Drosophila melanogaster: one gene and its partner. The protein of the gene in region 1 interacts with the protein of each later gene in a pairwise test. Each region holds a gene or a part of one and is shown on either strand. Other genes may lie near its edges. The genes, in order: CG5070 and CG9192.

Evidence for each region.
Region 2: the proteins of CG5070 (region 1) and CG9192 interact in a two-hybrid assay, tested with the Drosophila melanogaster proteins (one large-scale study listed by BioGRID).

What each region holds. Positions count from the first base shown.
Region 1 is NC_004354.4:17,201,302-17,216,775, forward strand, and holds CG5070 (uncharacterized protein), read left to right. Parts: upstream 1-1,810; 5' UTR 1,811-1,893; coding exon 1,894-2,523; 3' UTR 2,524-2,624; downstream 2,625-15,474. Other genes in the region: TTLL1A (tubulin tyrosine ligase-like 1A), read right to left, coding at 1-116, 252-831, 883-1,217; CG32564 (uncharacterized protein), read left to right, coding at 5,174-6,403; CG32563 (uncharacterized protein), read left to right, coding at 7,135-7,351, 7,413-7,708; CG12995 (uncharacterized protein), read right to left, coding at 8,139-8,660; CG18258 (uncharacterized protein), read left to right, coding at 11,027-11,743, 11,918-12,607; CG5162 (uncharacterized protein), read left to right, coding at 14,032-14,269, 14,435-14,694, 15,059-15,474.
Region 2 is NT_037436.4:1,231,479-1,247,360, reverse strand, and holds CG9192 (uncharacterized protein), read left to right. Parts: upstream 1-9,041; 5' UTR 9,042-9,125; coding exon 9,126-10,061; 3' UTR 10,062-10,228; downstream 10,229-15,882. Other genes in the region: Psf1 (partner of Sld five 1), read left to right, coding at 1-295; CG32318 (uncharacterized protein), read left to right, coding at 728-807, 874-1,288; Klp61F (Kinesin-like protein at 61F), read left to right, coding at 1,721-1,800, 1,867-2,167, 2,361-3,693, 3,759-4,969, 5,034-5,285, 5,370-5,393; galene, read right to left, coding at 5,879-6,084, 6,140-7,542, 7,607-7,733, 10,278-10,524, 10,584-10,790; CG33966 (uncharacterized protein), read right to left, coding at 12,128-12,385, 12,449-12,821, 12,887-13,188; CG33965 (uncharacterized protein), read right to left, coding at 13,396-13,656, 13,712-14,084, 14,138-14,457; mwh (multiple wing hairs), read right to left, coding at 14,950-15,882.

The DNA of each region.
Region 1 (15,474 bases):
GTGGCGGTGATGCGGCTCCACAGCATATCCGAAACGCCCTCGCCTCGCAGGCTGTCCAAGTACAGCCACAGATTCTGGAGTGGCCATTTGCCACCATGGATGGAATTGTACTCTTGCTAGATATTAGAGTAAAACATTTATAAAGCAAATGTTAAGTGGGCGCAAAACGCTTTTTTTTTTATCAAACACACTTATTTGCAATGTTGACTTAGGACTTATGTACTCTTACGTACACGGACTTGGCTACTTACATTCGTTTTCTGGATGCTGACGTTCGTCAAGTGCATAAACACGTTATCAATCTCAGTTTCGTCGTACTTCTCGGTGCAAAAACGGCAGAAACCCTCCTTATAGAGATAAGCCTTGAGCGGATTGAATGTGGTCACAAGGACGAAGAGTCGCAGGTCGAATTTCTTGCCGCCGATCAGCAGTGGATTGTCGATGTACTTGGAAATGACGCAGGTGTCCCGGTTGATTTGCGGATAGAAGGTGCGCGCATCGTATGCGAATTTTTTCAGTTTGGACAACTTGTTGACCAGATAGATACCTACACCCTGGGACTTGCTGCATGGCTTCACTATCCACGTGCTGGCCGGATTGCGATGGAAGACCTCGACGAACATTTGGTAATCGGAGGGGAGGACAAAGGTCATGGGTATGATGTCCAGGTGCTTGTAACGGGTACCGCCTATGCCCAGTTTCGTATCCGGTGGATGGCTTTGAGCCAACGGATCGCCACGTCGCTCCAGATCTTTGCGATAGCGCTTGATGTTCTTGATTAGCAAATCCTTGCGCGACAGCTCAATGGAGTTCGGGAAGTGGTTAATGACTCTGCGGTGAGATCTTAGATGGTTAGACAAAAAGTTGCTAACCACTACTTACTGATCTGATCGCATGCGATATGGATGATCGATGCCGAAGATGTAGCGACAATTCTGGGTGCACGCCCAATAGAAGTTCCATTCGCCATTAAAGGAGGGCACCTGTAGCCAACCTCTTTTCTGGAAATTGCTGACCAGCGCAGACTTGTCCCAATCTGTGCTGTAGTAAATGCCGTTTCGGGATTTCGGTGGTCTCAGTCGATTCCGGATGTAATGCAGACCATTGATGGGCTGGGTGATTAACTTGACCTCAGGCAGGTCATCGTCACTAGTGCAACTGCCGCCGCATTTCTGGCGAAGATTCCTCAGAGGACTGGTCTGTCTTCGCGTGCTCATTTGGGTGGTTGTATTTTAGATACTGCCCCTCTTTATGCTGATAACTGAGAATTTTGCCTAATTTTGAAGCGATCGTACTTCAGTTGCTGACAATTTAATTATGGCCTGGCTGATGCCCCCGCGTTGGCATCTAGTAAGCCCATAACCTTTCAAGAATAGGACCTTGGGTTCCAGAGAGCATACTTATTTCCCAGCTGTATGGTCAATGGTTTACAATATTAATTCACTTGTTCCCACAACTGATGAAAAAAATCTGACTGTTTTCCGGCAACAGATCCGCTTGCATAATCCCCGGGAAGAAAACGAAAGTGCTAATTCCCTTGAAGCTGCAATGTTTGCCCAAAAATTGCGTTATATTCTTGGATTCTAGCTAAAAGCAAACCTTCTGCGAAACCACAAGATCGCAAAGAGTGAAAAATCTGACTTTGACACAAATATTTGTGACACTAGTTCACCTGCCATCGGAACAGGGGGCCCTCCAAAACCCATTGAGTAATTTCACACATTGCGGGTTTTGGTACAGAACAATCGCGCACTATTGTCGAGCAATTCGACTTGGCTGGGTATAAAGTCGATGGTATGGTCACCAGAGTTCATCAGTCGACGCGGCAAAGTCAAGAGTGGATTTTGTGGATTAGCAGGAACACCGAATCGAAGATATACACATTACATCACCATGAAGTTCTACCTGGGATTGGCGGCAGTAGTAGTTGCGATGGTTTCCCTAGCGAAGCCGGGAGAAGCCACCTTTGGCAAGCTTAATCTTCTTCTGGGCGGAGCCACTACGTCTGGCTATGGATCTGGATATGGCGGCGGCTATGGTTCTGGCTACGGCTATGGATCTGGCTATGGATCAGGATATGGCGCCGGCTATGGATACGCTCCCGAGAACGTGGTGAAGGTGATCAAGGTATCGGTGGTGCCAGGAGGTGGAATCGGAGGAGGATATGGCGGAAGCTATGGTGGAGGATATGGCGGCGGTTACACTGGCGGCTATGGCGGTGGCTATTCCAGCGGCTTTGTGGGCGCTGCGCCTGCCATATCCACCTCCGCCGTGGTTACACCGGTGGTCACATCGGTGTCCACCCCGGTTGCCACTCCTGTCCTGGCCGGTGGAGCCGGCTATGTTGGCGGATTCGGAGGCGCTTTGGGCGGAGGATTGGGTGGCTATGGAAGCTCCTTCGGCGGTGGTGCTGCCCTTCCCGCCTCCTACGGCTATGGCGCTGGCTATGGCGCTGGCGGCGGCTTTGGACTGGGATTCGGTGCACCACCACCACCACTTGGCTTGGCTGGAGGACTCTGCTAGAGAACGACGAAGCCACAACGTCAAGTGGTTATTTTTTTTTGATAATTTTAAACAACGATTTGTAATTAAAAATTAACGATTTGTAATAAATTGTATAAACGAAGAGAATAGTGTTTGCTTTTTTGAGCTCACCAAGAGTAAATCTTTTAATAATACTATACATAATGAATATTTTGTTTGTTATAAATATTTATAAACATAATAGTTCGTTTTAAGCTCATAAACCTATGCAACTCAATAAATGAGCAGCAAATATGTGGAAGAAATAGAATACAATCAGTGATTTTGTCTGCCCAAAAGTGTGCTAAATAAAATGACATTAAACAAACCCCTCCAAGTTCTATACTCTATACATATACAGATCTATAAGCCGCGATGTAACTTTTTGCTTTTGCAATTTACTGCTTGACAATTACAAAATAAAAGAGTTCGCACCCATTTGAAGAGCCACCACCCAAAAAATGTATTGGCCCACCCAATCCTAGTGACCTTCGGTTTGGGCCTCTGAATGAAAACGAGAGTTGAGTGCTGTTTACGCACTCAGTTAGCCGGCTTTAACCCTTTCCGCCCCCCCAAAGCTTCTCTTTGCCCATCGAACTGGAGATCGTGAGCCCAAGAAAACTGTTAATGGTAATCAAGTGCCAAAAACCAAAAGCAAAGCCAAAGTCAAAGTCAAGTCACAAGAGCCAAGCCCAAAAAAAAAAAATATAATGTTCGACCGAGAATGCTGTATGCCACATGGGTGCAAATTGGTTGAGCTGGACCAGCTCCATCTTCATTTCCATCTCCAACTCTAGCCACATATGTCGCAGTCACTTCAACTAAAATGTAAATGGTAATGTGTAAATTGGCAATGATTTAATATTTGCAATGCTAAGAAATTTGAAGATAAAATAGAAATGAAATAAAATTAGTCAAGTAGAAAACACAGCAAGAACCTGAAAGCTTTAATACTTTTAAGCTGGTTAACATTCATCTTAGTTAATGTTAAAAATTTTAAATATAAATTCTTATATACATACATAAGTAATTCGTTTACTACATCCAATTGGGTTTAGCAACTATCTTAAAATGTTATGCTTGTTTTATTTTTCGCTTGTGATTGTCTGAAACTTTTGTAAAAATACAAAAAGTATAAACTTCAGAATTAGTTGCTTATGCTGCAAAATTGCCTAAAATTCCACGCATCTTTCCATAAAAATGAATTTTACGATACTCTCGTGCTACCAAAAAAAAACCAGTTGTCGAATTATGGGAACAGAAAATTTCGCCAGATGGAACAAACATACATATTTGGAGGGTTCTTGTCTATTTTTTTTTTTGGTGACCCAATTTGCATATCTGTCTAGATCAATAGAAAAAATACAAAGGTTCCAAAAAAGCGACATTTACATATATGTAATATTTGATCTGAGTTGGGAGGGAATACGTCAGAAAACGTGGACGTGGACAGGTTTTCGGGTCGAAATCCGAGATGAGCGAAGATTTCTGGGCGTGCTTGGGTTATTTGGATTTTCGGATTTTGGCTATTTGGATATTTGGATATTGGCGAGGCTCCAACCCATTGAGCCCCTTGACTACGTGTAGTCATGCATACGATTTCGGTGGCTGAATGAGTGACAATGCCAATACGCTGGCCACGCACATGTGCCAGTGTGCACTGCGAGAAATAGTAAAGCGAATTTTCGAAAAAAAAAATAAATTAAATAATATGAATTATTTAACTAAAATTTTTTTGGTTTAAACTTATTCATTAAATTGCATTATTTGTACTACACAGGTAAGTATTTGGCTTACAAATCGAATTACAAACTTATAAATAAAAGGGTATGTATTTTCATTTACTGCTAGATTGAAATATGACTGCTATCGATCAGATATAATAAAATACTCTCTCAAATCAGCATGATTCAAATTGGGACAGTATATGAATCAGAAAATTAAAATGCAACTCGCATTGCATGGTAGAACTGGTGGAATTTCCCAAACGTTTGTTCACATTCTATAGAAAGAGAAATAATAAATTGCACTTTTAGGCACAAAAATATTTGAATATTAAATTCATATTAATATGGATCCAATTAGATGAAGGGATATTACCTTCATCTAATTGGATCCATATTAATATGAATTTCTAGTTTAAGCTGCGTTTCAGATCATATCACGTTAACAGCTCCAAATATTTCCCTCAGTGCTAATTGGGGAATTACCCGAACCTTTTGCGAATCCGTAACGCTCTTGGGCCGTAGATTTATTCAACTATTTTGTGCCGTGCCGGTAGATGCGAGAAAATATCTCACTTGATGGTTAAGTAGTTGAGGTGACATATGAACAGACAGCCAGACAGCCGGTGGCTCAGGGCCCCGCCCAGATTTGGAATACATTTCGACCGGCCGACTCGTCTTGGGTTGTATTGGCTTGTCTTGTCTCTTTGGCCCATAAGTAACCATTTATGAATTAAGCAAACATCTGTGTTCGGGGCATCTCATCTCGTTGACTGGAGGGAGCATAACATAGTTTAGAACTACACAAACGCACACGGCTGTTGGCCGGCTATAAATTAGTGCCTCGCCTCGATTTGGGACATCAGTTGAGTTTCGTTCAGGTTGCCGGCAGCATCAGTAGCACCACTAGCATCACCAGTATCAACATGAAGCTGTACGTTTGCGTTTCGCTGGCCCTTTTGGCCCTTTCGGCACCAGTTCCTTCCGATGCCCTGTTGGGCGCCAAATTGGCCCTGCTCAAGGCCATTGGCGGCGGTCTGGGTGGCGGCAGCTCCGGCGGCGGTGGCTACTCCACCGGCAGTGGTGGCTATGGAGGCGGCTATGGCAGCGGTGGATACTCCGGCGGCTACAATCAGGGATATTACAACCAGCCCAGCAGACCGGTGTACAACTCCGAATACGGCAGTTCCTCATCCTCTTCCGCCAGCAGCAGCAGCAGCTATGGAGGCAGCTATGGCGGTGGTTATGGCGGCGGCTACGGTGGTGGCGAGCAGGTCATCAAGGTCATCAAGGTGGTGGAGCAGCCCTCTTACTCTTACGGACGGTCCTCTGGCTATGGTGGCAACTATGGAGGATACTCGTCCAGTGCCTCGTCCAGCGCCAGCGCCAACTCATACTCCGCTCCCTCTGTGAGCTACTCTGCTCCAGCTCCCGCTGTGACCTATTCCGCTCCTGCACCCGCTGTGAGCTACTCTGCCCCAGCTCCCGCTGTGACCTACTCCGCTCCTGCTCCTGCCCCAGCTGTGACCTACTCTGCTCCAGCTCCGGTGGTGCGCGTTCAGGCCGCTCCAGCTGTGACCTACTCCGCTCCTGCTCCTGCTCCAGCTGTGACCTACTCCGCTCCTGCTCCTGCTCCAGCTGTGACCTACTCCGCTCCTGCCCCCGCTCCTGTGGTGCGAGTACAGGCTGCTCCCGCTGTTACCTACTCCGCTCCCGCTCCCGCTGTTACCTACTCCGCTCCCGCTCCCGCTGTGACCTACTCCGGTCCCGCTCCTGCTGTAACCTACTCCGCTCCTGCTCCAGTTCCAGTGGTGCGTTACTCAGCCCCAGCTCCAGCTCCCATCAGCTACGCCCCTGCTCCCGTGTCCTACGCCCCGCAGCCACAGAGCCAACAGGTGGTGAAGACCATCAAGCTGATCGTCGATGAGGATCGTGCACCCGCCCAGGTTTACGGACCACCAGCGGTGGAGTCCAGCTACTCCAGTGCTTCCTCCTCCGCTGCCGCTTCCGCTGGTGGATACAACGGTGGCTACAACGGTGGATACAACGGTGGCTACAACGGTGGCTACAATGGCGGTTCCAATAGCGGCTTCTCAGGTGGATTCAATGGCGGCTGGAAGCGTGGCGGTATCTTTGAGAAGCTGGTGGGCTGCTAGGTGCTCATGTAACCATAACTCAAAGCCACTCAAGGACTCCAAAATCTAACCTAACCTAACCGTACTCAACTATTTTTTTTCTAGTTCTAAAACGAATACCTTTATTTTTTTGTTCGATCGATGTGTACATAAAATAAATCAATATACCCGATATCAGTTCTTTATAACTTTATACTCTTATGTAATCGCCAATACCTCAGTCAAATTCGTCTGTCTGTTAGCTTATATGTATGTAGATGCATATATCTTTTTTTTTGGGATTTTTTAGGGTTCATTGTGTTATTGATTCTTAGCCAAATTAACACCAAGTTGCTAACTCCCAACGAATCGGTTGCGATTCATATTCCAATTCCGGATCTGAAGAGATCGCGGAGAGGGCCCTGAGAACAAGGTTAAGATCGAGGGACAGAAAGATTCTGGTTTATAGGGTTCTGATTTGCATTTGAATATAGTATGTGCTTGGGGGTTTTTTTCTAATAAACAGAAAAAATGTTAATCAAATTGCTAAATTGTGTGGGAGATGTTTATATACATTTAAAAAAATCATATACCTTTGATATGCCTGCTTTAAAATTTTTTAGAATCTTTTAGGCTTGCATTAAAATGAATTAAGCTCTACATATAAACAATGATGGACTAAATCAAACTATATTTCATATTAATTGAATAATTGAATCAAAGTATCTATGAAAAATTCTAATAGATTCCACGATCTTTATCGGCTAAGTGTCATGCGATTTGAGGTGCAGTCATCCAAAATCGTCACCGATGGGCGTTCATCCAAGACCAAGAACATCCGTTCGCCGGCGCATATAAAAGCTGTGATCCCCTCGAAGAATCGGCCAAACAAAATGCAGGTGCTTAATGTGCAATTGTTTATTTGGGCAATAGTTTTTGCGGCTTTAGTACGTGGTCATGCTGTGGAGAAGGAGCAGCCGGCGAGCCACGGTGCGTATGAGCGACGCTATTTGATGTACTTCCCTTATTTGTGTTTTTATTATATCTGCAGCTTATGGACCACCCATACACATCAGCTCAGGTGTACTCCAGCTAGCTCCGGATACGGAACAACCCCATCTGCTGCTGGTGCCCAGCTCGTACTCCATGTCACTGGGAAATCCCTGGCCGCATTACTATGTGGACACCTTGACCGCATCGCATTTGCCACATTCAGTGATTCCATCGATTCCATCGATACCTTCGATACCTTCGATCCACGAACCCCGCATCGTGGTCAATGATAATGTGGACTTTTCGCAACTCAAATTGCCCCAGCATCAAGTTGTCCACTCCCACGGCCGCTAAATGGGTTCATTGCGAAACAATTTATAAACTATCATAAATAACTACTTTTCGGCGGTCTTATTACTTTAAGTTAAGTTTTTTTTTGTTTGTTTTCAATTTATTATTCAATAAAATTGCTATAAAATATATTGGTTTTTAAGGTTGACGAATGCATGGACAATATTTATATGTGTGCCAAAAACACAATTTTTAAATATGTAACATTTTTAAACATGCAGATTTTGTAATTAATTAAAATCCAGGACATCTTTTTAACTTATTTAAATTTTCATAAATACTTGACCATATTTATTTATAGGTTGTGCCCCCAAGAGAGCTTTTCAATTCAATTTAACTTACATTTATTTTAATAATCGTTAAAAAAAAAACACTTTTATAATAATATAATCTTTGAGCATTTTGATAGGTCTTGTGTGCGACTATCACAGTCTTAGTAGAGATGTTCCAGCTGGTGGTGCTCCGCCAGGTGGTGGTCGTGCTCCGCCTGGTGCTCCACCTGCTGTTCGAGTGCCTGGTGCTGGATGTGGTGCAGTTCGTGCTCATCCCGATCCTTGAACTCGTACAGGGTGCTGTAGCTGAAGGCGCCCTTGCCATGATCGATGCCGGGCACAGCCTTGTGGTCCTCGTAGTGGGAGTGCAACTCGCTGGCCTCGGCGTACTCCTCGCCGGCATCGCTGCTGCCGTAATCTGACGGGAAGCTCTCCTCGCCCAGGTGATCGCCGAGGGAGCCCAAGTGATCCGCCTCCGCGGAGGCTCCGAATTCGTGCGAAGATGAGCTGAAGTCCAGCTTGGACAAGGCCTCGCCGCCAGTCAGACCGCCGGCGTAGTGGCCCAAAAGTCCCGCCGAATGGACCACTGCATTGGAGGACACATCATCCCCCAAAGGATAACATTGGATGCCTAGCAGCAGCTGACCCAGAAGGATCATCAGTTTCAGGCGATAGGTGAACATGGTTGGATGTGGTAGAAGTGTTTTAACCGACGCGGCGAAATGTTTCGAGTCAACTAATTTACTGCTACCAACTGCATTGGATTTTATATGCTCGGAGCACTCACATTCGACCGCAAATACATGCCGCATTTTCCTGCATTTTCCGTCGACTTTTGCACACAGTCTTTTGTTTTGTTTGGCTAAAAGCGAAAAACACAGAAAAAAAAAAATGTTGCAACGGACATCTGCCTGCTGGCCGCTCGTTCGGCTGGAGCTGATAATTTGCTGCACTTACTCCGCATTACGTCGACGTCTAAGTGGCGGGGCCATTGAAAAGCCTGTTGCAATGGTGCGTATACGTAATAATTTTGGTCTTCTCAATTATTTTTTGGCTTTTTGGCCATTAGGCCCGTTCTCGGTATATGGACCATATTGCGTCATCTGTGGCATCCCTGTGGGCCTTAACCCTCCGCCTATTTGCACTTAAGGCGGAAGCTCGCTAGATTTTTGGCACAGGCCAACTAATTGGGTTTATCAACAGCAAATAGTGGAAGTAGAATGGCAAATATAAAGAGTCATTCACATATACGAGTATGTGAGTTGAAGGTGTATATTTATCGGGCCAAACAATGCAGTGAGATGTGTCCATTGTGCAAAGTGGCCAAAAAGTGCACTTAACTCATTGAGAAACTGTTTGGATAGGTACTTTTATATTTGATAAATATAAAATAGTCAAAGATGTAGAGTACAAACTTATTTGAAACATATTTCGCAAATTTATTAAATCACGAAAAGGATTTAAATACATTGCCAAAAATATTCTCTAAGAACAGCATCCGTTTATCAAGTCTTTTATTTTATATATTTCTCTCTTAACTTATCATCAGCGAGTCTTACATAAATCTATAACTCAAACTAACTCCAAATTATAGTCTAATGGATATAGAGCAATCTGAATTGATTTCGATTTCATGAGTCTCTCTACTGCAATTAAAAGCACAAGAAGCCAGCAGAGCGAGAAGTCCGCGCTCGATCGCCAGTAGTTTTTAAAAAAACCCACAGCTCCATGCGTCTGACATACTCACCAATATTCCCATTCCCAACAAGATATGGGTGCTATATACTCCATATATGGAGCACGAGTGCCTGGAAGATTGCAAAAGGTGGAAAAGCGAAACAAAACCGTTACCGATGTACATATAAACATTTGCCGTCAATTCAGCGCGCTATGTGCGAATAAATTTCCAAAAACTAAGAAAATCGGTTTGTAGCGAAGTTCGGCTGCTCTCATTAAATGAATAATAATATATGAATCAGTAAAAAAAGTCAAGAAAATATCAATCAACAAATAATACTAGTAACAAAACTTTATCGAAAGACATCTGAGAATATAAGCTGAAAAAAGCCCAGGAAGTAGAGAGAATATTATATTTTGAAAACTATAAATATTAAATGAAACAACTGATAAATATTTATTTTATCACAATAATTAAAAAATTAATTTTTTAAATGGTTAGTTGCTTCTATGGTATATTATACTATCCCATTAGGATTGACATTTATTGGGTATTTTCTTTGGGTGTAGCTCGGCATTTCTTCGAAGTCGGCCAGTGTGAATAATTGGGCAGTATTAATCTGTGAATCCACCATCCAAATGGCCAACTGGAAGCACTCGCATTTGGGCTATTGGCGCTTCTGATTGCCGCTGTTTATTCCATGTTGCTGGTTGCTAGTTGCTGGTTAATAGTTGCTAGTTTCTGGCGGGTTGCGTGCCGGCAACATCAACGAACAGCAGCAGCAACACCACCAGTCGGGCTCACAAATTACCAATGTAATAGCACCGCTTGTTTTGTGTTTAATTTTGATACCCCTTAGTCTTTGAGAAAGGGGGTATACTAGTTTCGTTAGAAAGTATGAAACAGGTAGACGAAAGTTTTTCGACCATGGATACGTGTTTTCCTCGAACTATTTCATAGTTGAGCCACTCGAATACCTCTTGTCATAATTTTGTATTTTTTGCTTTTTGTTGATTGTGGGGGCGGTGAGTAATTGGGAGCGGTGCAATGTGGTTATTAGGTGGCTCACTTTTTGGCAGTCGATGCAACATTTCCTAACGCAAAATTTTTGCGAGGAAATTTTGCGATTGCAACCTGGATTTTGCAAGACCAAGTAGTTCGTGAGGCTCGGACACGTGGAAGGTGGCCAATATCGTGAATTCGTGTCTTAGAATAAAAAGTTTTAGCTCGGAGAGTGATAAATTTTGTTTGGAATGAATGAAAAGAAATGTATATATATGTATATATATTTATATATATATTTATCTCACTTAGCCTTCGTATAAAAGGCCAGCCATGTGTAGGTGTTTTTACAGTACCTTCCGGATTACCATGTCTTCTTCGATTGCAGTGGTGCTGGTGGTGGTGCTGATTGGGATTTCTGAGTCCATTAAGACTGATTCTCTGATGATGACCTCTTCTTTAACTCCAGAGATTTCGAAGTCTGATAAATTAAAACTAATCGTGTCGCAAAATGCGGAAAGTTCAAAGGATACAGATGCCATCGAAACTGACATCTCAAACGAACATGATCCACGTGATGCCTTAAAGGATTCTAGTTCGCCGGATGCGGATGTTTTAAGGAATAAGACAACTGAAGGCTTAATTTCTTTGAATAATAAAGCCGAGAACACAATGACAGGATTGGATGATTCTGAAAGTCTTAAGTTGGCACGGCCAGCGAGTTCATATCAGGAAGCGCTGCTCAATCGCCTACAGGATCAGTTGAATCAGTTCGTTGTTGGCTTGCCCCTGGACTTGGGCTTCTCCACCTTGAACTATATATGCAGCACCATTGTGGACCTCGGAGTGGTGAGGTCCAAGCTAATACCGGATATGTCGCGTATGAGTTTTCTGCTTCGATCGAGTGATGATTGTCAGAATACCAGTATTCCACTGACGCAGGCGGAGCAGTTATGGAACACTACCGGATTTTATCAGGATCGACCCACTGTCTTGTTCATCACCGGCTGGACAACGAGCATTAACAATTCCAATAGTGGTCCCGTGGCAAAAGCTTATCTTTGTCGCAATGATACCAATGTTTTGGTAAGTCGGTATTAAACCTATTCATCTACAGGCATAAAAAGTTTCATTAAATATAAAAACATACTGATAGAATAAAAGAGAGAGATATTTATCTTTAAAAAAGTTAACCTCATATACATACAATTTACCTTGAGTATATCACTTTCAAGTCATTACAAATACACCTCTATTTAGATTCTAGATGCTGCGAACTTCATAGACACCCTGTATACATGGTCTGCCCTGAACACAGAGGTTATTGGAGATTATCTGGCCAAGGCGCTCCTCCGGCTGAATACGAGCTATGTGACCAAACAGTTCCATTTGGTGGGTCACAGCTTGGGCGCCCAAATAGCCGGTTCAGCGGGCAGAAACTATCGACGATTGTCTGGGGGACAAATCCTGAAGAGAATCACCGGATTGGATCCGGCTAACCCATGTTTTTACGATGGCAATGAGCTGGAGGGTCTGCGGAGTGGCGATGCCCGATTTGTAGACATTATCCACACCAATCCCGGCATGTTTGGCACATCGAAGCGGGCCGGCGATGCTGACTTCTTTGTCCAGGGACGGATTCCCTTCAAGCCGGGATGCGAGAGCCTTGACCCCATTAGCTGTTCGCATCAGAGAGCCGTGGATTACTGGACGGAAACGGTGTATCCGTCGAATGGGAATGACTTCCTGGCCAAGCGATGTAAGCGCTATTCGGAACTCCTTCTCGGAAACTATTGCAAGAACACGAATACCGTGATGGGCTATGCCGCCAAGGCCACGGATCTGGGCCTGTTCTACGTGGGCGCCAATCCAGAGGAGCCCTATGGCCAAAATGCCAATCTGCAGAGCTACACAAACTCCGACACAAAATGTGGATCTTGTGCATCATGAATATTCGTACATGTATTCTTATAGTAGTATTATTAAAAACGAAACGCAATAAAAAACTGTTATCCGCAGCAAAGTCTTATGTTATATTGTTAAGATGTTGATGTTACATAATCTGTACCTTTTTACAACGCCTATATCAACCAAAGTAATCTAATATTATTCGTAAACGCTGAGAGATTTTACCTGATAATTTCAAGGACAAGTCCCAGTTGAGCCCCCGCCCCCTCCCTCTTCCGGAGAATTTAGAGCTCCGTGATTTGTGTAAGAAATCGCCGAAAGCTGATGTCAACGCCAAGTTAATTCTTTTGTGACGTCTTTTTGTTTGGGGCACACTAAAAATTGTCCAGGGCACGTTGACGGAATGACAATGGCTTGGAGATTGGGAGCCGTAATGGGGGAATACGGAATGGGAAATAAGTGGTGAGCAATGGGTCCGCATTAATATGGCCATTAATATGGCCCTGTTGTCGTAACCGGAGGCACTATTTGATGTTAAGTACGTGAGAATTGACCTTACACTGCAACATTACATACTAGAGCTTTAAATTTCAAAAATGAGCAGATAAGAAACAAAAAAGAGATATCAGAATTTAATAAAAGGTTTGCGAAACAAAAACCCACAAGTGGGATTGTTGAAATTTGTTTATATAGATACTTTAGGATAAATAAAAATGTAATTAAATAATATTTAAATTATTTAACTCATTTATTATGTATATATTTTTTTATTATTTATATACATAAGTTTATTCTAAATATATGATTTACCAGTGTATTTTTTGATACACTACTGATGGCACGGGCCATTGTCGGTAGAGTGAGGAATTGTGTAAACTGAAAGATCGTTTATGCCATTATCAGTTAAAAACTGCACGTGGCGATGGTGGGGATCAAGAAAATTTTGGGGAATTCCAAGACCATTTGCCATTTGTTTGCTGAGATTAAAACATAATCTGTTTTTGGTGTATGAGAACAATTGAATTAGAGGTCAAATTTTGTAGCTGATAATCGCTGTAATAGGGTGTTTAACCGGTCGACTGGATGCCCCGTTGACTGCATAACAGGGCGTTATCTTTCAGTGCTAATGCCGTCCGATTTGCTTTAGTTTTCGATTAGAATTAAAATAAATGCAGATGAGATCGGGACATGCGACTGCAGTTTGCTCCGGGCCGGATTTCTCGATTTCTCGCCGAGATGTGGCGAAGGCGACGAATCGAAATGGAAATGGAAACTAATTAAGTGACAAGTGCACCTTATCTGATCGGAACACACATCGATATGGTCACAGTTGACTGGAATCATATATATATATATATATACATATAAGGCAATGTGTTTGTCGCGCGAGCCCCTCCCTCTGGAAGCTATAAAAACAATTGTGATTTGGCTTCCGGCATTCAGTTCTCGTTGAGTTTGTGTCCAGGATGGGACGAGTTCCGGCAAAGATGCACACGCTCCTCGCGCTCCTCCTCCAGCTTCTGGTGGCCTCCATCCACGCTATCGAGTGGTCGCTTCCGGATGTGATCAATTCCATCGGAAATGTGGGCACCAGCATCGTGGATCCCAGTCTTCTGCCCACACCCCAAGGACTCCTCGAAGGCAGCAAGCAGCTCATCGCGGGATATCCATTCGAGTTCGTCTCCAACTCCCTGAACGTCATTTGTGAGTATTTATTTAAGTTCTAGAAAACACATAATTTTTAAATGCAGAATTTTTAGATTAATAAACATTACCTATTAAATAAACAATTTTATATAGTCATTCTAAAACAAATTATCTTAAAAAATTAAAACTGCTTAAAATAAATTACTTCAAAAATATTTTCAGGCTCCCAGGCGCTGGCTTCAAACAAAATCAAGTCGAAATACTCGCCGGATATCAATAAAATGAACTTCCAACTGCAAACGGCGTGTGAAAAGAAAAACTTCCCACTTACAAGTCCGGAGTCCATGTGGAAGAGTCCGCTTTTCGATGTCAAGAAGAAGGTCGTCATTCTGGCCACCGGATGGACCACCACCGTGAATGGTTCCGATACCATCGAAGTCTTCTCAAAGGCCTATAATTGCCGTGGGGATGTCAACTTTGTGGTAAGTACAATCTATATTAATTAAGGTTGAAATATGCCACTTAAACCAATAAATCAATAAATAAGTATAGAGGAAACAAGTTTGTCACAGAAACATTTATTGTTATTAAGTTTTCCTACTGATAAGGTTCAGATCAGATTAAATACACTCACAAGCAGGTTCAACTCGTTAGCTCCGGATTTAATGTAAATGTTTTACATATTTTTTTTTCACATTGCGCATTCAAATTAATGCTAATATTAAAACCACGGGCTTTAAAGTTCTCATTATACTTTGAATATCCTAACACCTACTGGCATAATACACAGCTTATGCATATATGTACATATATCTAGGGTAATTTGTTAAAAATATGTCATTACAGGCGGTGGATGCTGCTCGTTTCGTTGATACCCTGTACACCTGGTCGGCTTTCAATACGGAGGAGATTGGCGAGAACATCGCCCTCGGATTGGTGAAGCTTCTCGATCTGGTGCCGGTGGAGAATATCCACTTGATTGGCCATAGCCTGGGCGCCCACATTGTGGGTTCGGCGGGACGGCACCTGCAACACCTGACCAATCAGACGATACCCAGGATTACTGGATTGGATCCGGCCAAGCCGTGCTTCAACGAGGGTGAAGCCCTCTCTGGTCTGATGCGCGGAGATGCCCACTTCGTCGATGTGATCCATAGCAATCCCGGGGTGCTGGGCAAGCGGGATCCGGTGGGCGATGTGGACTTCTATCCGGGCGGAATGAGCCCCCTTGCGGCGGGCTGTTTCTCGGTAACCTGTGCCCA
Region 2 (15,882 bases), on another chromosome or scaffold:
GGACATCAAGCAGGCACTCTGCGAACCGGAGGTCACCTTCTTCAACAACTACTCCAAGTCCCTGGCTGCCTACATGTGCAGTGCGGGCTACAACCAGGGCTTGCCCATTGATCTAACCAACAATCTGCGTCCGCCCAAGTCACTTTACATCGAGGTGCGCTGCATGGAGGACTATGGGAAGTTCGAGCTGGACGACGGCGAGGTGATCCACCTGAAGAAGAACAGCCAGCACTATCTGCCCCGAGCTCAGGTGGAGTCTCTCGTGAGGCAGGGCATTCTTCACCACATAGCCTAGTCGGGATTATTTGATAATAAGAGTTTACTATACATATTTAATGGTTTAATGTAGAACAAATAAAAGATAAAAAATTATTTAATTCAAATAATTTGAACATTCTGTAGTTTTCCAATACTTGTATTTTTCGATGTTGGTATTTTCAGGGTGCCGTGTTGCGGTCACACTATTTGCGCATTATTTTAAAATTGAACGGACAACTGAAGACGCTGCTTCTCTCTGTTCTCATTGGAAATAGTGCGAAAATTGGTTTTCCACGCCAGCCTTCTGTAAATAGTAGTTACAGTTATCAGCATTCGGCTCGGTGGAAGGTGAAGCACAAGGATTTCCAGGAATCAAACACACACACACACGCATACCGATACACGCGACAGGCGTCATTTTTTGGACTGTACGCGCTAAAACCACAATTAATTGTTTCAATTGATCAATATGGACATATCTGGTGGGAATACGTCGCGCCAGCCCCAAAAGAAGTCCAACCAAAACATCCAGGTGTATGTGCGCGTCAGGTGAGTTTGTATATGTAACCAAAACCCCTTAAAAAGATCTACATATATCTTCTATATCTTTTGTAGACCCCTTAATTCTCGGGAACGTTGCATCCGCTCGGCCGAAGTCGTGGATGTGGTCGGACCACGGGAAGTGGTCACCCGCCACACGCTGGACTCCAAGCTCACCAAGAAGTTCACCTTTGACCGCAGTTTTGGCCCCGAGTCCAAGCAGTGCGATGTCTACTCCGTCGTGGTGTCTCCGCTGATCGAGGAGGTCCTCAATGGCTATAACTGCACGGTGTTTGCTTATGGCCAGACGGGCAACAATCTGCGTCCGCCCAAGTCACTTTACATCGAGGTGCGCTGCATGGAGGACTATGGGAAGTTCGAGCTGGACGACGGCGAGGTGATCCACCTGAAGAAGAACAGCCAGCACTATCTGCCCCGAGCTCAGGTGGAGTCTCTCGTGAGGCAGGGCATTCTTCACCACATAGCCTAGTCGGGATTATTTGATAATAAGAGTTTACTATACATATTTAATGGTTTAATGTAGAACAAATAAAAGATAAAAAATTATTTAATTCAAATAATTTGAACATTCTGTAGTTTTCCAATACTTGTATTTTTCGATGTTGGTATTTTCAGGGTGCCGTGTTGCGGTCACACTATTTGCGCATTATTTTAAAATTGAACGGACAACTGAAGACGCTGCTTCTCTCTGTTCTCATTGGAAATAGTGCGAAAATTGGTTTTCCACGCCAGCCTTCTGTAAATAGTAGTTACAGTTATCAGCATTCGGCTCGGTGGAAGGTGAAGCACAAGGATTTCCAGGAATCAAACACACACACACACGCATACCGATACACGCGACAGGCGTCATTTTTTGGACTGTACGCGCTAAAACCACAATTAATTGTTTCAATTGATCAATATGGACATATCTGGTGGGAATACGTCGCGCCAGCCCCAAAAGAAGTCCAACCAAAACATCCAGGTGTATGTGCGCGTCAGGTGAGTTTGTATATGTAACCAAAACCCCTTAAAAAGATCTACATATATCTTCTATATCTTTTGTAGACCCCTTAATTCTCGGGAACGTTGCATCCGCTCGGCCGAAGTCGTGGATGTGGTCGGACCACGGGAAGTGGTCACCCGCCACACGCTGGACTCCAAGCTCACCAAGAAGTTCACCTTTGACCGCAGTTTTGGCCCCGAGTCCAAGCAGTGCGATGTCTACTCCGTCGTGGTGTCTCCGCTGATCGAGGAGGTCCTCAATGGCTATAACTGCACGGTGTTTGCTTATGGCCAGACGGGCACAGGGAAGACCCACACCATGGTGGGCAACGAGACTGCCGAACTGAAATCCTCCTGGGAAGATGTGAGTGAACAAAAATTCAAATCAAAACCATATCAACCATATCAGCGTAGGGCCCTACATTCTCACTTTCGCAGTTTAACCAAACAAAAAAGGTCTTTGCCATTCTTAGCCATCTGGCTCAAGGCCATCGAAACCAGTTTTTCTTTTCTAAGAATCGCTAATCTAACCTTTTCCAATTTGTCTTCCCGCTTAGGACTCTGACATTGGCATCATACCGCGCGCTCTGAGTCACCTTTTCGATGAGCTGCGCATGATGGAGGTGGAGTACACTATGCGCATTTCCTACTTGGAACTGTACAATGAGGAGCTGTGCGATCTACTGTCCACCGATGACACCACCAAGATACGCATTTTCGATGACAGCACCAAGAAGGGATCGGTGATTATCCAGGGCCTGGAGGAGATACCAGTGCACAGCAAGGATGATGTGTACAAGCTGCTGGAGAAGGGAAAGGAGCGTCGCAAAACAGCCACTACGCTGATGAATGCACAGTCCTCACGCTCCCACACTGTATTTTCTATAGTTGTGCACATCAGGGAGAATGGCATCGAAGGAGAGGACATGCTGAAAATCGGTAAACTGAATCTGGTGGATCTGGCGGGCAGTGAAAATGTTTCCAAGGCTGGGAATGAAAAGGGAATACGTGTGCGGGAAACAGTAAACATCAATCAGAGCCTCTTGACTCTCGGTAGAGTAATTACCGCTTTGGTCGATCGCGCTCCTCACGTTCCATATCGTGAATCAAAGCTGACTAGACTGCTGCAAGAATCTCTGGGTGGCAGGACCAAGACCTCCATCATAGCCACCATATCGCCGGGCCACAAGGACATCGAGGAGACCCTGAGCACTTTAGAGTACGCTCATCGCGCCAAGAACATTCAAAACAAGCCCGAAGTCAATCAGAAGCTGACCAAAAAGACTGTGCTCAAGGAATACACCGAAGAAATCGACAAGCTTAAAAGAGATCTTATGGCGGCCAGGGACAAGAATGGCATCTATTTGGCCGAGGAAACCTACGGGGAGATAACTTTGAAGTTAGAATCCCAGAACCGCGAGCTTAACGAGAAAATGCTGCTGCTCAAGGCTTTGAAGGACGAACTCCAGAACAAGGAGAAGATCTTCAGTGAGGTGAGCATGAGTCTTGTGGAGAAAACGCAGGAGCTGAAAAAGACCGAGGAGAACCTACTGAACACGAAGGGTACTTTGCTCCTGACCAAGAAAGTGCTGACCAAGACCAAGCGACGATACAAGGAAAAAAAGGAGTTGGTGGCCTCGCATATGAAAACGGAGCAGGTTTTGACCACACAGGCTCAGGAGATCCTAGCCGCTGCTGATCTGGCCACTGATGATACTCATCAGCTGCACGGAACCATCGAAAGAAGGCGTGAGTTGGATGAGAAGATTCGCCGATCTTGCGATCAGTTCAAAGATCGTATGCAGGATAATTTGGAAATGATCGGTGGCAGCCTGAACTTGTATCAGGATCAGCAGGCAGCCCTCAAGGAGCAGCTAAGCCAGGAAATGGGTAAGCTATCTACAGAAATCAATTTGTATATTATTGTACATAAGTAAAATTTTATAAATCTCCAGTAAACTCGAGCTATGTGAGCCAACGCCTTGCACTAAATTCCAGCAAAAGCATCGAAATGCTTAAGGAGATGTGTGCCCAATCGCTACAGGATCAGACCAACCTCCATAATAAGTTAATAGGAGAAGTCATGAAGATCAGCGATCAGCACTCTCAGGCATTTGTCGCCAAGCTGATGGAGCAGATGCAGCAGCAACAGCTTTTGATGAGCAAAGAAATTCAGACTAACCTGCAGGTGATCGAGGAAAACAACCAGCGGCACAAAGCCATGCTGGACTCTATGCAGGAAAAGTTCGCCACCATAATTGACAGCAGCTTACAGTCTGTGGAAGAACATGCGAAGCAAATGCACAAGAAGTTGGAGCAGCTCGGGGCAATGAGTTTGCCAGATGCGGAGGAACTGCAGAATCTTCAAGAGGAGTTGGCGAATGAACGAGCTCTGGCGCAGCAGGAGGATGCTCTCCTTGAGTCCATGATGATGCAGATGGAACAGATCAAGAACTTGCGGTCCAAAAATAGCATCAGCATGTCCGTACATCTTAATAAGATGGAGGAGAGTCGACTGACGAGAAATCATCGCATCGATGATATTAAGTCTGGTATCCAAGACTACCAAAAGTTGGGCATAGAAGCTTCCCAATCCGCACAAGCGGAGCTCACCAGCCAAATGGAGGCGGGAATGCTTTGTCTGGACCAAGGCGTTGCCAACTGTTCGATGCTTCAGGTGCACATGAAGAATCTCAACCAGAAATACGAAAAGGAAACAAATGAGAATGTTGGTTCCGTTCGAGTGCACCACAATCAGGTGGAAATTATTTGCCAAGAGAGCAAGCAGCAGCTTGAGGCGGTGCAGGAGAAAACCGAAGTTAACTTGGAACAGATGGTGGATGCAAGGCAGCAGCTTATCACCGAGGACAGACAGCGATTCATAGGCCATGCCACTGTAGCCACTGATCTTGTCCAAGAGTCGAACCGGCAGTTCTCGGAGCATGCTGAACACCAACGGCAGCAGCTGCAAATTTGCGAGCAAGAGCTTGTACGCTTCCAACAGTCGGAGTTGAAAACGTACGCCCCAACTGGGACCACGCCCTCCAAAAGGGATTTCGTTTATCCGCGCACCCTCGTGGCCACGTCGCCACATCAGGAAATTGTGAGGCGCTATCGCCAAGAGCTGGACTGGTCAGATCTGGACACCACGGCCACTATAGATGAGGTAACCTAAAATCCTTCAACCTTGTATGTTGAAAAGCACCAACTTTTATGTTTCCAATCCGTAGTGCAGCGAGGGTGAGCATGACGTCTCCATGCATTCCGTCCAGGAGCTGTCCGAAACTGAAACCATAATGAACTCCACGCCCATTGAGCCCGTGGATGGTGTCACCGTGAAGCGTGGGTGCGGCACCACCCGCAATTCCAATTCGAACGCCCTAAAGCCACCCGTAGCTACTGGTGGAAAACGCAGCAGCTCGTTGTCACGTTCCCTGACACCCAGTAAAACGTCACCTCGAGGTTCTCCCGCCTTCGTCAGGGTAAGTCAAGTGCAAGTCCGCTAATGACTTAACAAATAAAGGGTGGGGATATATTATCATTGCTTTTATTTTCAATATTTTTAGCACAACAAAGAAAACGTAGCCTGATTGCATTCGATGACAGTAGTAGTCTCCCCTTCCCAGTAACCCGTTTATGTTAGTGGATTTCGGATCGCTGTGTTTGTTTGGCTCTTCTGGATATTCATTTTATCTGTATATCAATCTTTGGAATTTCGTACATTTATTATTTAAATAAACTCAGTATGCTATGTAAAGTTAAGGAAATCTTTAGTTCAAGTGCAGGTTTAAGATATATCAGAAGGTATTCTTAAACTTCGATACTATTTTTTAGGGAAGAAGTGAATTTGGTTTTTTAATGATGTCATGCCTTCCAAGGAAGCGCTTTATAATTAATATAATCTTAACTATTTTACTTATCATATTCTCGTTTGTGAATTTAAATTTGTTGAAGTTTTTTTTCATAAAACATTTAAACATATTAAATATCCATCTTTCAAAGTGTGTTCCTTATAATTAGAGCATCCAACATATTTAGGAAAAAACAGATGTCATAACTATCTATCTATCTATTACTAATCCTCATCCTGCTCGTCGTCATCATCCTTAAGAATGCCCAGACGGCGGGCTACCTCCTTCACATTGGCAATGAACTCCTCCTGGACCAGGTTAAAACTCATGGCCAACAAGGCAATGCCGAAAAGAAGGTACAGCGAGCAATAGGCGATGGACTGCTCCGACTCGTCCTTGACTCCTTTCGCGGGGACAAAGTCACCAAATCCTGTAATGCAAAAGCAGATGAAAAGAGTGCGCAAGGAATTGGGATAAACACAAACCGATTGTTGTCAGTGTAATGAAGCAAAAGTAGGCGGAATCCAAGAAGGACCAGTTCTCCCAGTACGCAAAAAGAACAGCTCCGCCAAGGATGTAGCTCACTACCAGAAAGACGCATAACCAAATGGGGACAGGTCGATCCTTGGGCAGCAGATCTCCATAGTCCCCATACTCATCCCCGTACATAGAGTCATCGTCGTCGTAATCGTAGCTGGGTCGCCGACGGATTTGCCGCTGGACCGGAAATCCCATTGGTGACATGATTCTCGGGGAAGGGGGCAAACGTTCAGCCCGCTCTCTTCGGCGATTTCTTTTTGGTTCTCGACTCCTTGAGTGGTGGCGCTCAGGCGGATAATCCTCGTAGTTATTGTCTCCGTAAAGGGATCCCTCATCGAAGCTCTCTTCCACGTAGTCCTCGTAGCGACCCTGGGAGTGACCACGCCTATCCCGTCGATGGTCCCGTCCCGGCGGTGGAGCATCATAGTCGGGAAGTTCGAGATGGTTGCCATAGCGAGATGATTGCCTGCCCAGACTTCCAGCTCGTCTATCATGCTGTTGGCGATAGGAGCTCTGCGGTGGCGGCTGTGGAGATCGTTCCCGTTCTCTGTCCTTCTGGCGTTGCCTTTGGTGAGCAGATCTGGGCATGGATTGACTCCTTGGAGCTGCTTGTCTTCTGTTGCCCCCGAAGTCATCTAAAGCATACCTATTTGGTATAATTGGTGTTTTCCTCACCACGTCCTCGTCGACGTCTTCGTAATGTGAAGAAACGTGCCTGGGATCCACGGACTTGGCCCTACTTCTCCCAGGTGCCGAGTGAAGACGATGCAGTTCTCTGGACGCTTTGGAAGATTCCTGATTGTGTGGCGATCGAACCGATCGCACACTGGCAGCTCTTTTCGCAGGAGGTTGCATGTCACCGAAGTCCTCAATGGATCCAGCATCCAAGTGGGATCGAGAGTAGCGCTCCCTTTCTACCGTGTGTCTGTCCCTCATCCGATCCCGTTGTCTTTGCCGGCTACTGTAGCGGTTGGATCTGTTCAGGGTCTGAGTTTCGTACCCATCTCCGTAAATGGTGTGACGCTGGCGAGGATCGTGATGCAAATGCTGCTGCTGCTGCTGACGACGATTGCGTCCGCCTCCACTGCTCCGATGTCCGAACTCGCGGTCATCGTAGCCCCGGCCCATGGTGCGCAGGTCGGGATCTGAATAGGCATGACCCATGGAAGGACCCAGACCCGAGTCATTCCCAGACCGTTGGGTCATCTTCATGGAGCGCCGGAACGAGGGCGGCGGCTGGGATCGGGCATGGCGCTGAGAGCGCATCGATCTCTGCCGGGATCGGGCATTCCTCGGACGTTTGGCCGTGCGGGTGCACACATAGCAGCATATTCTCCAGTACAGAAACCTATATTGGAATATATGTATGAAAACATACTCATTTAGTTCTCAGCTCATCGATGTCAACTCACCGAAATGATGTGGCCATGACATCGCCAATGTTGGACAAGCAGATGAGCATCAGCGGAATGCCCACAATGGCGTAGAAAATCGTTGTCACCTTGCCCCAATCCGTACGCGGCGATATGTGACCATAGCCTGTCCAGAGAATGACAAGGAACACATAATTACTCTTTCGCAGATAGGTAAGATTGATTTTGAGTCACCTTTCACCTTCAACCTCGTGACCGCAAAGTTCTTGAAATACTAATGAATCTAAGACCCGCTAAGGCCCAATCCCCAATCCATATGTACTTCTTTTTGTTCATGCCAAGCCCATTATCGCTTCGAAATAGCAAACATGGCATTTCAAGTCTGCCGCTTTTGGCCTTTACGGAAGTGTGCAAATTCGTAGATAGCATTCTGTGCCCCTCTTCGCGGGGTTCTATCTGATGGGCGTCGGTCACTAAACCCATTTGTGTGCTAGCCGTAAATCCATATCGGGGAAAAGTGCAGACGAAAAGCGTAAAACTAAGCTCCCATCATCAACAGCCAGAGCTAATAAACTGATTTATACCAAATACTTCCACTCGAAAGCCGAAAAGTTGAATGCTCTAAGTGGGTTAAAGTGAAAAAGGTTTCTGTATACTTTTAAAGTAGGAGAGTTTATAGAGTTCTTGGGGTTTGCTTAAGGCCTTCGATTGAAAACCTTCCATGCACCACTTCCCCTTTTATGAGTAATCACTAATCACCAACACCCCCTGTGTGTTAGGGTATACTAATAATGAGAAATTCCCATCGTTAAAATCTAAAAATCTGAAATGCCAGAAAAGATAATCACGATCGGTCAGTGGCGTTTGACCTTGCTGTTGTTTTGACCACAAACAATTGGATGGCAGCAATCCACTTTTGGTTTCATTTGACACGCTCCACACACCCTCGCTCCCTTTGAAAGCCATCACCACCCGAATGAACCCATTTTTAGAGGTCAACCACGTGCTGGCTGCTCACCTGACTGTGTCCGAGCTGAATCTTTGACTTGTGACTCCCGCCCTGCAAAGGAAGCAAGCATATGTTTTCCAACTCATGGAAATTCCCAGGAATAAGCTTTTAGGTCGATCGGTGGTGGTCAATTACCGTGATTTATGCGATTTCAACGTGATCGCTGTGTGGACAAAACCAATTGTCCGACTCATCCGCTTGCCTCATTGGTTCCTGGGCGGATTGCGGTCTGGTCGCGCTTCAGGTGAATCAACGTGGGCCAAGACTTGGGCCACAGATCTCTGAAGATTTCTGTCTGGCACGATCGTTGATTCATTGGTCGGGCAGCCGCCGAATGCGAATACCTGCGGCTGCCCTCGTCGCTTGACTGAGTTTGTGCGTCGTCATCGCCGCTGATGTCTCTGGCGGTTGTATTTGTTTTTTGGTTCTCGGGTGCGGTTATATAAGTAGTGTGTGCCGGTCGCATTTTCGAACTATTCTGTTGCGGGAGCTTGCCGCGATCAAGCGCAAAAATCGGGTCAGTGTGTAATCGAACAAAGCGTGCCAATCATGCCAAGCTATTGCCTCATCATCGTCCTATGCCTTCTTGGATCAGTGGCGGCTAAGTCTTCGGATGGAGATCGAGATCAGTGGGTCTGGAGGTCCTACAATCGCAGGGAGCGCTCTTTTCGGGACATCAATCGCAGTTCCCCCATAAGGAACTCGTACGACGAAAAGCTGAGGCGGGAGCCCACGACTCGAAGACCTTTTCCGGGCGAACCGGAGAATGATGAGATAGAGGACTATGCCGATGTGGAGCCCACCAGGTCATCGGACACTCCCAACGTAGGCACCCGTCAGTTTAATCCATACGGTGGTCAGACCAATGCCGGACAGTTCGGAGGACTTGGAGGCTATAACGGAAACCCCGGAGTGCTAGTCGGACCTGGCGGACCCACCGGAATCATAGGGAGACCGCAGCTATACCCCACTCCCTATCAGCCAGGCTATGGTGGATTCTCTGGAGCTCAAAATGGCATTAGTGGATATCCAGGCGGATACGGAGGAGTAGGACAGGGACTTCCCGGAGCTGGATTCCCCGGAGCCAGCGTGGGTGGTGGGTTTAACAACTTCCCCAGTAATGGACTTGGCCTCAACCAATTTCCTGGCAATGGGCAATACCCTTACGGCTCCTATCCAGGTGGCGACTTCGGTGGAAGCCAATTCGCGGGCGCAGGTGCCCAGTTCCCAGGATTGGGACAGTACCCAGCAAACCAACAGTTCGGTGGACCTCAGTACACCGAGGGCTATGGTCTGGCAGGAGGACTGGGCTTAGGTCAACTTGGAGTAGGCAACGGTGGACTCGGATACGGTGGAAGTTTTCCACCTCTAGGAGGAGGCTTCGGCTATGACGAGAAATCGCCAGCTGTGGCCGATGGTAAGAGTGCTAAGAGTGTGGCAGCGTCACCCAGAAAAGTGAATGATAAGCTCAGTAAGAAGGTCTAGAGCTTCGTGTTTTAGAAGTGGAAGGTGTTATGTTAAAGATATGGAACTGAAGCTATTACTTTCCCACTCAACCCTCCTTTTTCCCTTAGGCTGAGTTGGAAGTAGTCACCTTAGTGTAGGCATAGTTTACGTATAGACTAAGCAAATAAATTCCCATGTTTACTCACACATGACTTTGAAGAACTCAATCCATAAGCTTAAAAAAAACATACTCACCTATGGTCGTTATCACAATAATCGAGTAGAACAGGGATCCGGCAAAGGTCCACTGGGACTTGCGCAGATCCTCGTCGCCATCCCAGCCGTCGGCCTTGATGGCCGTAAGGATTTGCTTTTCAAAATTGGCCAGGTGCTTGCTGACATTGGCCATCCAATCGCTTTCCCTTAGGACCACTGCGTCGTCGGACAGTAGCCAGATATTCTCCGTGAGATTAACGCGAAGATTCTGTATGTCTCGCTTCACCTGCATGGGGATTTTGGATTTTTAGCATTTGAGACCTTCCAGCAAAATCACCCACTCACCTCTAGTTCGTGGGGTCGTTCGAGATGCTGGAAGAGGTAGGCACCGCCCACGCAATAGGAAACCACGAGAAGCACGAGCAGCACATGGGACACAATGCAGGTGAGCACCTTCCACGAGAAGCAGATGGCAGCTACACAGCGTCCGCGTTGCGGCTTCGCTGGCTCCAACATGTGCGCCGGCAGAGATTGGGCCCGCCTACCCGACATGGTCACCCTCCTCTGGCCTCCTCCTTCCTTTGGCTAATTTGCCGCTCGGTTGGCTGTGAATTATGAAAGGCAAAATAAACTAAATAAAGGATGGGACGAAAATGTTTGGAGGTCGGCCTGGCAAATACCCTTAGAAATTGTAAATTGTTGTTGAGATGAAGAGTTGTTTGAGAGTGCCTCTCCGAAGTAATATATTGTAGTAACCTTAATGGGAATGCTACATAATGTTTAAAATTATGCCTGCGAATAAACACGCCTTCTATGGCGTTCGTTTCAGAAATCGTTGGTAATCTCCAAAGGAGCAATTACCGAGAAGCCAAAAGGTAAACCAGACAAAGCTCCACGGCACATATGTTTATTTGTCCAAATATTTATTTATTTGGGTTGCTGGGGCAAGGCCGAAGAGCCAAGGGGATCAGGTGCGGAAGACTCGACTCCATGAGACTATTTTGGGTGCCGCCGCCCGGCGGGGCATTCATCTCATCGTCAAATCTCGTGCCACGCCTGTCGAGAACTCTGCTGGTTCCTCTTGCTTATAGATGCGGACTACATAACATGTCCGAGCAATTATGAACTTCGATTTCATGTGGGCAATTAGCGCTGGTGAATTATGGGCCCATCGGGATTGGGCATTGGACTGCTGTTAATGATGATTACCGATCGCTGATCGCCTTCTGATTCGCACTGAGGAAAACTTTTCAGTTTTCCACATTAAGTTCCATGCTGTATATTTTGCCCGCACTCTCCCGTCTTCCGTCTAACAATCCGTTTCCGATTCTATATCCGATGGGATCCGTACAGAGAAAAGAAGCACCGATCCGTACGAGCCACAAATTCTTACTGCGGATCGCAGCTACAGATGGACTCTCCACGGATCGCTCGGGAAATTGGGTTTATTTTTGGTCTAACGCGAAGTTCTCTTGTCTTCCGTAGATATATAGTTTTGGAAAAACTTTTATTTTCGGCTTTTCTCTGGTCGTCGTTTGTTTTGTATTGTTTGGCTCTCTCAGTCGTCGCACTTTGTGTTTTGATTATGGTGTCTATCTGATTGAAGGAATCAATTAATCTGCTGCTACAGGTGGTCTAACTGATAAGCAATGCATGGACTTAATCTACAATTTTTAAATGAAAATCATAAACTCGTTAACGTGTAATTGAATATAAAATTAACTATCTTTATTACATGCTGTGCTAAGTTTTCGGCTTGTTTTTTATGCTCTTAGCGCTATGCTTATCACAAATCGACTGGTGTACAACCATTACCTTTGTTACCTTAGATAAGAGCTGCAGCTAAGACTATTTTAAGCAATTTAGCAGGGTTAGGAGGGCTTGACACTTCAGTCCACATTCAATTGCCGGAAGGAGCCCTGCAGACCAAAAAGACTCTCGAAGTCAACAGGCTGACCCACTCGGAGGCTTTCATCGGTTCCGTAGTTCTTCTCCTCCTCCCAGTAATTCCGGTAGGCTAGAATACGCTGCTCCCACTGCTGCAGCAGCTCCGGAATCGATCCGTTCTCCCCTCCGTATTCCACTGGCAAATACTGTTTGGGAATCTGATTGTAGAGTGCCTCCCATTTGCTTCCATGAACGTAGAGCTGGCGGTGTAAGAGAACTTCAATTACCTTCCAACTTTGCTTGGTGCAGTTGGGGTTACTTACGCGTCCTTGCTGCTTCTTAGACATCATGGGCTTGATCATATTGAAGATGGTGTCAAATCCGTTGGGCGTATTAATGAAATGGATTCCCTGCGGTCGCAGGGGCAGGGCCTCCTCCTGAAAAACGGTCATCTTCTTGGCGAAGGACGGTGACATCTGCAGGAAGTGCCCGGTGGTGACATTGGACAGATCCAGAATGGATATTAAACCATTCACAATGGCCACATCGTCCTCGTCGAGCATAATCTGCTGCATGAGACCAGCAGCTCGATTCACCTCCTGGAGGGTGTATTTGCTGGGATCATAGCAGGCCATGCGCAGCAGAGCCAATCGCGGGCCATTATCGTTTAGAGGACGTGGCAGAATAACTATGGTGCTGGAGAAAGATTAATGAAGTGGGTTAGACAAAACATTTCTGGGATTTGCATCTCTCCAGCTCACCCCAATCGGAATATCTCCAGTGCTTTGTCCACATCGACATTATGACCCAAATAAAACTCTGGGTACTTGGTGCGTAGTGTGTAGAACCTGTCGATCTTCGACTTGGTCCTTTCCAAACTGAACTTGCAGCCGCGCAGGAAGTTCACCAAGAACTGGTCATCTGTGCGGGCTTTCAAATGGGGTTGCTGCTTAATCCAATCCCTCAGGGCGGCGATGTCGTCATCCAACTTATTAGGCACCTCATTCAGGTTCTCAATCGCAGTCTTTTGGAGCTCGGGACTCAGTGGTCGGATGGCCGGCATCTTGTTCCTCTCTTCTTGGCGGTCGATGAACGAGTGTTGATTTTTCACCCAGTTAGTTTTGCGATTCGACCCGAAATCGATAAGGCTGAATCGACTGAGAGCTGATAGCCACACATTGAAGTAGTCGCCAAGAAGAGTGAGCTTATCGAAAACATTTATTTTAGGTTTATGGCCCAGGTAAGTAAGTATACAGGTATTTTAGCCGATTCAGTCGATGACCAACTGGCGAAAAGAGCCATCCACGCCAAAGTGACTCTCGTCTGGGTTCAGCACTGAGGCTTCCTCGCGCAACTTGTCATGGGCTCCGAAATGCTGACAGTCCTCAAAGTAGCTGCGATAGCTACAGAGCTTTGCCTCCATCTGGTCGGTGATATCCTTCATGGTGCCCTTTGAGCCACCGTACTCCTCAGGAAGATAGTGCTTAGGAACTCGCTCGAAAATAGCTTCCGGATCGGAGCTAACGGAAACCTAAAAGAAAGGGAGTTGTAAAGATATTCATATTCCTAGAACTGCACTGTCCTACCCTCTCCTTGATTTTTCCCGGAAACCATCCAAGCAGTGATTTAAAACCCGTCTCGAATGCCTTGGGCACATTGATGAAATGGATTCCCTTCTGACGCGTTGGCATAGCCTCGTCCGCATAGGCCGAGAATTTGCTGAGAAGTTGGGGTTGGAGGGCAAACAGATTTGCACCCGTCACTCCACTCATGTCCATGATCTCCAGGTAGCCACTGACGGAGGCATTGTCATCCTCCAGCATCATGATCTCACCGAACATGGAGCCCACACGTATGATGTCCTGGAACTTGAATTTATTGATGTCGTAGGAGCCAGCTCGAATAATAGTCACGGCTGGTCCAGTATCCTCCTCATCGAGGGGAATGCGCAAGATCACTCTGCAGGGATAGAAATATTTGGAGTTTAGAGAACGCAAAGTGGATTTACATACCCCAGTCGAATAATTTCCAACACCTGGGCATTGTCAACCAATCGCTGATCGTTGAAAACCTCCGGAATGACCGCTTGCAGGCTATAGAATCGATCAATCTTCTGCTTGGCCTTCTCCAGACTAAACTTCGATCCCCTAAGAAAACTAAGCAGGAACTGATCCTCGAGACAGGCGCAGAGATGGGGCTGCTTCTGTAGCCATTCTTTCAGAGCAGCAATGTCCGATTCCACACGACTTGGCACTTCGTTCAGCTCTTCGATGGCCACTTTTTGCAGACCCGGCGGCAGAGGCCTTATGGAATTGGGAGAACTTCCACTCATTTTGGCAGCGCTATCAGTTGCAGACTAACCAAATGCACTTCCAACTGGTCAACACTTTAAATACTTAAAGCGTAAAGCGATAAGATCCGACTAATCTCATAAGTGATTAGCAGGCAAGAAAACGTATTACCTTGACTATTAAGTATTTGATTTGCCGATTTATGTACTCGGCTGCCATTAGCCAAAAGAAGGGTTTGATTTTAGTTTAAGAACTTTATTCAATGGAAAATAATCAATTAGGCTAGACATGAACTACGATACTAAATCTTACTGGCTAGATACCCGGTTGAAGCTGCCACCGTAACTAACCTAGTCTGGGCTGCAGTTATCTCGAGATGTTGCATAAGAAACGTGTTTATAATGCATGGAAATACCATTAAGTGTTCTATAAATACGGTGATCTGATGGGCTGTTGTAACCTAGGAGTGGGTTGCTATTGCACAGGAGCTGGAGAGTCTCTGGAATCTCTAAGAGTATCTTGTGGAGTATCGCTTAGTAGAGGCCGGATGGCAGATCCGTGACCTTTGACATGGACCCCTGGGTGTGGGATCGAGTGCGGAGGGTTGGACCCTGAATCTGCCCACCGCTGGAATTGGCGAAGCCAGAGTGATCGTGCATCCTCATCGCCAGGTTACTGGTGAAGTATATCTGCTGATTGCTGCGTGACTTCTCCCTTCCGATGGCTGCTTCGTTGAGGGCTTCCGGATGCGCTGAGGCGAAGGCCGCCTCCAGGCGCTCCACGTTCTTGGTGACTCTCCTGGCCTGCAGGGCAGCCGAGATGTCTGGCTTGGGATACTTCTGAGGTGTGTTCATGCCGGTCATGAAGAAGACCCCGTTAAACTGCTGGGCTGGCGGAGTCGGAGGCGGTGGTGCCGGTGCTTTGACCTTCACCGGGTGATGGGGAATTGTCACGGGCGCCGCATCCTGGACACTTTTCCGCAGGGCCTGCATTGTGGGATCGTGATCGTCATGCCGCGCATTCATAATCACGTCCAGCAACTCTCGATTTGTGCTCGCATTGTACGCCGTGGCCGTGGCATTCGCCTCTGGCATGTCCGGCGTTGGTGATTCCATTTGGTAGGCAGCAGGCTGATCTGTCTCTGGAGCATCGTAGTCCACTTCGTCGAAGAAGCTTTGCATGGCCGCTAGTCGCTCAGCGGCGTCGGGATCTGCTGGTTGGTGTAGAACCATTCCATAGTCCGATCCCTCCTGATCGGAGCAATCGGTGCGGGGCACCAGATGTGCCAAGGACCGAGATTTTCTGGGAGGCTGTGGTACGATGTTAACCGGCACAATTTCCTTCTCGACCGGACGATGGTGGCGCATCTTTGGCCGTGTTACACTGCTCGTCTGGCTGCTGATCTGCTTTTCGGCCTCACTTACAATGTTGTCCAGCTCCTCGATGACATCCTCAATGGTAGCGGC